Linked DNA regions of Callithrix jacchus. Each later gene encodes a partner of the first gene's protein in a complex. Links are inferred from orthologs where the notes say so. Each region holds a gene or a part of one and is shown in the gene's direction. Other genes may lie near its edges.

Evidence for each region. Proteins that work in one complex are often made in the same cells at the same time.
Region 2: the proteins of KDM4A (region 1) and H1-4 are in contact, whole or in part, in a crystal structure (PDB 6H8P), measured with the Homo sapiens proteins. The link is inferred for Callithrix jacchus from reciprocal best matches to the Homo sapiens genes KDM4A and H1-4. Residues at the interface, in NP_055478.2 of Homo sapiens: Ile71, Asn86, Ala134, Asp135, Asn137, Thr167, Ile168, Glu169, Gly170, Val171, Tyr175, Tyr177, Glu190, Asp191, Ser196, His240, Lys241, Ser288, Thr289, Asn290, Asp311, Met312, Val313; in NP_005312.1 of Homo sapiens: Ala24, Arg25, Lys26, Ser27, Ala28, Gly29.

What each region holds. Positions count from the first base shown.
Region 1 is NC_133508.1:80,339,534-80,343,184, forward strand, and holds part of KDM4A (lysine-specific demethylase 4A), read left to right. Parts: intron 1-3,141; coding exon 3,142-3,323; intron 3,324-3,651. UniProt on the Homo sapiens protein: Histone demethylase that specifically demethylates 'Lys-9' and 'Lys-36' residues of histone H3, thereby playing a central role in histone code. Does not demethylate histone H3 'Lys-4', H3 'Lys-27' nor H4 'Lys-20'.
Region 2 is NC_133505.1:4,582,507-4,585,236, reverse strand, and holds H1-4 (histone H1.4), read left to right. Parts: upstream 1-1,360; 5' UTR 1,361-1,421; coding exon 1,422-2,081; 3' UTR 2,082-2,191; downstream 2,192-2,730. UniProt on the Homo sapiens protein: Histone H1 protein binds to linker DNA between nucleosomes forming the macromolecular structure known as the chromatin fiber. Histones H1 are necessary for the condensation of nucleosome chains into higher-order structured fibers.

The sequences.
Region 1 (3,651 bases):
GAGCCCAGAGATTCAGGAAGATCAGCATTGCAGAGCCTCAGCTCTGGCTGTGTTTGTGACTGGGCCCTGGCACCCTCAGGGAGAGCAGAATCAATTGTAACTCTTGACTAATGTCAGGCTCTGTCCTACCTGGTCCTCTCCTTCCTGATCTGATATCAGTGCCCCATCTCTGCTTTTTTTTTTTTTTTTTTTTTAAAGTTGAAAGATCATGATAAACTGGATGGGGAACATCCCTTCTGCCCTCCAGTCAGAAGTGTGGCAGGACTCTGAGTAAGGTCCTAGGGAGCCTTCCATGTTCTTATTCCACCCAGACAGGAGCTTCAGGTTCTCTGGGTAGCACCAGCCTATCTCCTGATTGGTTTACAGCAATATAGACTTTAGGAAACTGTAAAAGTTACCAAGAGGAAAACAAAATTACCCTTCAAAGATGACCATTATGAATATATTAATATATTATCTATCCTCCTGACTTTTCTAATCATATATTAGAATATGTCCATGTATATCTTTTTAAAATAACGAAATAATGCAATTGAGATAATATACAACCTCCCCTACTTTTTTATTTTGAGATGAAGTCTCACTCACTCTTGCCCGGGCTGGAGTACAGCTGGCATGATCTTGGCTCACTGCAACCTCTGCCTCCTGGGTTCAAGTGATTCTCCTGCTTCAGCCTCCCAAGTAGCTGGGATTACAGGTGCATGCTACCATGCCCAGCCAATTTTTGTATCCTTTAGTAGAGATGGGGGTTTCACCATGTTGGCCAGGCTGGTCTTGAACTTCTGACCTCAAGTGATTCACCGTTTCAGCCTCCCAGAGTGCTGGGATTACACACATGAGCCACCACGCCTGGCCCCACAATATCCTTTCATCTTCAGTCCATGCCCATCATTCCCTGCTTGTGCCAAGAATGTGTTTTATAGTTATTTCCTTTGAACTCTAATATAAATCAAGCTAAGATCACATACTGTATTGGGCAACTGTTTATTTAATGTTTATGCCTCCCCCTAATTTAAAATAAATTTCAATTCAAGCATAACAATTCAGTGATGCACACCTTTGAACTATACAGCTCAATGAAGTATTACATATGTAAACTGTATAATTTTGCTTCCTGAAATTTTCGCTTAATGTAGTGAACATTTTCCCTCATCATTCAGTATTCACAAATGTAATGATTTGGGGTCACTTTTGGCTTTGTAAATGGAACAGATGTCAGTGTGTTAATTTTTTAGTTGTGAGTGTGAGCCTGTCTGTTTGTCTCTGTTTCTTCCATTCTATCTTGGTCACTCCTGTTTGGCCAGGATAAAGAAAAAAAATCTGTTTGGGTTCTAAGTACGTTGGCTCCTGATTACAACTGAACAATGGGGCAAATAGGGGTTGATTTTAATTGTCTGCATTGGTGTCCTTAGGCTACACTGAGGCGGCGCACAATGGCAGATGCCAGATGCCTTTAGATTTAACACGACTTTGAGGGCAGAGTAGAAAACTATCTGCACTGAGCTGGTGTTGCCAGAAATGAAAAAAAAAGGAACCTAATGCAGAGCAGAGCTCTCCATGGCTGCTTTGAACAGATTTCAGGGCCGCTTCTGGGAAAGCACTTCTGTCTGGGAAGAAGCGAGATCACTGGAGGGTCATAGCAGGGGATTGATGATGCCACTCCTAGCGAGATGCAGTGATCCTTCGGAATGCCCCATCTGATGGGGCTGGCACAGAGCCAGTCTCCTATCAGGGGCTGCATAGTTGGGCCTTGCTTGATCACACTTGGCAAAGAAGGGCACAGCAACTGTAGCTTCTCATACCTCCCCGGCATGGTGGAGCATCTGGAGAAACATTTTGGACATCTACTAAAGACTGTCCTCATTTACTCATAACCTTCAGAATTCTGGCATTTCCTTTTACTTCCCTGTTTCTGTTTCCTTGTTTCTGCTGGGAGCTTGTAGACTGTGCCTGTCTCACCGATTGAGGAATAACTGGGAAATGTGTACCTTTATCATTTATATGAGTTTTGTGAGCAAACTTTTTTTGTTTTCTACTCAGCTGTATATCCCTTTCTTGTAAGAAGATGCACCCAGAGGGGATTTTTCTTTCCCAGGCCTTGGTGAAGTCCAATAAGTTGTATGCTCTGCTGTCTAGCATACCTAGGAGGTACAGTCTGTCATGACCAGGGATATATGAAGGGCCAGGAAGTAAATATTTTAGACTTTACAGTCCTCCTTGGTCTCTGTGGTTGTCTTTTTTTTTTTAAGCCCCAATGCTGAAAATGTAAAAACAAAGCTGGGTGCAGTGGCACATGCCTGTTATCTGAGCTACTTTGGAGGCTTTGGCGGGAGGATCACTTGAGCCCAGGAGTTTGAGGCTGTGGTGGGCTATGATTGCACATGTAAATAGCCACTGTACTCCAGCCTGGGCAGCATAGCAAGACTCCATCCCCAAAAGTAAAAATAATTCTTAACTTCCTGAGTGGGCTGGATTCAGCCTGCAGGATATTGTTTGCCAGCGTCAGGACATTACATCTTGTGGCTGGGAAGAGGATTCATTCTGAACATGCAGCTCTGATTTCTTCTGAGGCAGAGCTAGGATCGGTTAGGGAACCTTGTCCAGAATAGGTACTACCCCTGATCTTTCCAGAGGCAGCTGGAAAGTCCTGTCCAAGGACCATGATATTACAACTTCTCAGCTTTGCCCATTCCTTTATTTTCTTTCTTTGTTTAGTTGCTCTAAAGGGAAAAGTCTAAAAGGTAAAGGACTTAACATGCTGACATTTTGGAGGCAGCAAGTAAGACAGTTTCTGGCAAGATGGTGGTTCATTCTGCTGTCCTTGGGCAGAGGGGTTGAATGTGGCAGCTGTTAAGGGAGAGCAGAGCAAGCTGAGCTCGTGGAGCAGGAGGAAGAATGGAGGCCATGAGTCAGTCTGGCCAGAGAATGGGGTACTGGCAGGACTTCCCACACGTCGTCCAGATATTGAAGGAGTCTATTGACAATTGCTTCCACCCTTTGCCTTTATCATCCTTAGGAATCCAGGAGTCACCCTTGGTCAAAACCTAGGACCAGAAGTCCTAGTTGAACTCATCTGCTCTCCAGGCAGAGCGACAGGTGTGCAGGGCTGGTGCTGACTCACATTTCTGTTTCCTTCTCTAGAGACATCTGAACAGCTGACCCCTGAGGAAGAGGCTGAGGAGACAGAGGCCTGGGCCAAACCTCTGAGCCAGCTATGGCAGAACCGACCTCCAAACTTTGAGGCTGAGAAGGAATTCAACGAGACCATGGCCCAGCAGGCCCCTCACTGCGCTGTCTGTATGATCTTCCAGACTTACCATCAGGTAACTCAGCTCCATGCACTCTGTTTACCCAGGACTAGCAATCAGAGGGAAGCTAGATTTGTTAGTATATAGCTTGTCACTGGTTGTCTTGGGAAAGGCCTCCTCCGCCCCCAGTATTCTCTGCCCCATCTGTGTATTGGTCAGTCTTCTCCAGGCAGATAACCCAGCATTGTGGGTTTCAATTGAGAATGCTTTGGAGACAAGCTGAGGGTGGGCTTAAGCTTCCCTTTGCACATGCACTCATCACAGACATCATTGTTTGCATAGCAATCTGCATTTTTGTTAGTCTAGTCCATGACTATTCCTGCCAAGTGGTTTGTAGTCCTGG
Region 2 (2,730 bases), on another chromosome or scaffold:
TCCAGCCATACCGTTTTATAGAATAATTCTTTTAATGATGCTTTCATTGCCAACGTACGGACACTTTTCTTGGTTGGGCAACTACCTAAAGAAATTCACTCTTTCACACATTGTTCAAAGGATGTTTACAGAGAGCAATGATTTATAGTAGCTTAGATAGACTCTCAAAGCTCTAAATCTGAGATTGAAATTTGAACTTATCATTTAATTACTATATGTCACTTATTTTTCTTTCTATGCACTCTGGGAAACATTGGGACACAGTCTTCAGGGAAATTGAAACCATGCATGGTAAGTGGACTAGTCATTCCTCAACTATTCAGTAATAATAGGGGCTGGGTTTCTCTAATAATGGGAGTAGATCTGTTTCAGTCTACTCTTCTTATTTATTTTCCCTCATCATCAGCTCTTGAATTTCGGCTCTAAAATACCTTATTGCAATTTGGTTCTGAAGCATATGCCAAAAGCATTCAGCAAGGCTGCAGACAATTTCTTTAAAGTGCACCTCCACTTCCAGTGACTTTATGAACATCACATTTAAAAATTAATCCTTTTTCATCTCTGTACCCTGAGTATATTTTGGACTTCCCTTCGGTCCCAAATACCCCGAATTCAAGGTATCTCAATCCATGGAGCAGTTGTCCAGGGGAAGAGAGAAGCAACAGCCCCGCCCCCAACCCTTGGGAGCAGAAAGGGAAAGAATTATCCAAAGGAATTGTTTAAAAACTCAGGTGTAGCGGACAGAAGTAAAATCATGGCTGCATAGAATGATGTCCCAGGGGTCCAAAACTTAATCCCAAATGGGCAATAATTTGTTTGGCATTAAAGTAAATCAGTTTGATGAACTCAAATGCCCTCGGCTCAATAGGCAGGACTCTCCGAGGAGCCTGTGTTACTTCCCTCACTTAAGTGCAGATTTGTAATAAAAATCTCAATGCCAGTGGCATGCTTTTTGGACATATAAGAAGCTAACCACTTGGAGAATCATATTTGAGAGGTCAGAAAACTCCACAGTTAAAGATCGGTTTGTAATTTACGAAGAAAATAGAAAGTTTTGTTTCTCTGAGTTGAAATTTGCCAAGCACGGTGGGAAATATTGCAAGTTTTTGGCACAAGGCTTTGTGCTTTCCTCATAATTTGAGATCTGCGTGAAGCCTGAGGCTTCGGGGATCATTATCTGAGAAAAATCGGGCAGTTCGGTGTAGACAATTTTTATATTTTTGGCTTTTTTTGAGGTGTAACAAACACAACTCGGGATCCGAGAGGACACTCTGCGGCTGCCAGCGAGGCGGGCTGGACAGCGCACCAATCACGGCGCAGCTCCGCCCTATATAAACGGGCGGGCGCAGCGCCGCGGCCCGAGTCCCGGCCAGTGCCTCTGCTTCCGGCTCGAATTGCTCTCTCTCACGCCTGCCTTCAACATGTCCGAGACTGCGCCTGCCGCGCCCGCTGCTCCGGCCCCTGCCGAGAAGGCACCCGTCAAGAAGAAGGCCCGCAAGTCTGCAGGTGCGGCTAAGCGCAAAGCTTCTGGGCCCCCGGTGTCCGAGCTCATTACCAAGGCTGTCGCCGCCTCCAAGGAGCGCAGCGGCGTGTCTTTGGCCGCTCTCAAGAAAGCGCTGGCAGCAGCTGGCTATGACGTGGAGAAGAACAACAGCCGTATCAAGCTAGGTCTCAAGAGCCTGGTGAGCAAGGGTACCCTGGTGCAGACCAAGGGCACCGGCGCTTCGGGGTCCTTCAAACTCAACAAGAAGGCAGCCTCTGGGGAAGCCAAGCCTAAGGCTAAAAAGGCAGGCGCGGCGAAGGCAAAAAAGCCCACGGGAGCGGCGAAGAAGCCTAAGAAGGCGACGGGGGCAGCAACCCCTAAGAAGACCGCCAAGAAGACCCCAAAGAAGGCGAAGAAGCCGGCTGCGGCTGCTGGAGCCAAAAAAGCGAAAAGCCCGAAAAAGGCGAAAGCAGCCAAGCCAAAAAAGGCGCCCAAGAGCCCAGCGAAGGCCAAAGCAGTGAAACCCAAGGCGGCTAAACCAAAGACCGCCAAGCCTAAGGCAGCCAAGCCAAAGAAGGCGGCAGCCAAGAAAAAGTAAGAAGTTACTTTGGCCAACTGCTTTGAAGCTCAACACAACCCAAAGGCTCTTTTCAGAGCCACCCACCCATCTCAGTAAAAGAGCTGTTGCACTCAGGGGGCGTGGCTGGGAGAAAGACCACGCCAAGGAGGGGCGGGGTCTCCCGGGGAGATAGCCGGTAGGGAGAGAAGTAAAGTCTTTAAGTATGCGAAGTCTTGAGCATTCTGTCTTCCAAGCTCGAGTGTAGTGCCGTCATCGCGGTTTTATTGCGCTCTCGAATTCTGGAGCGCAGCCCATCTGTGGCATGCCTAGGAGGACCTGGCCGGTAGATAATAGCATAGAGAAGAGTCAGTTTGGGTTATTCAGGCTTGCTTACTGGGTCTCCGGCACTCCGAAAACGAACACATACCACTTCCACGTATTACACTCCGCAGAAGCGTATGTATCGGGACATAAGGGGCGTAGTACAGACACAATTGCCTAAGCGCTCTTATGTCAAATGGTTGGGGAGACCACTGCAATAAAGATCAGAAGCTGTCACTATAGAAAAGATTTGTTCCCTAACGTGGTACCTGGATAAAGGGCTTGCTGCCAGACTTTGGGGGATGTCCCAATTAGCAAGTCTACAGTACAGGAGTGAGGGAGAAAATGTGAACTCTCCTAATCTGAT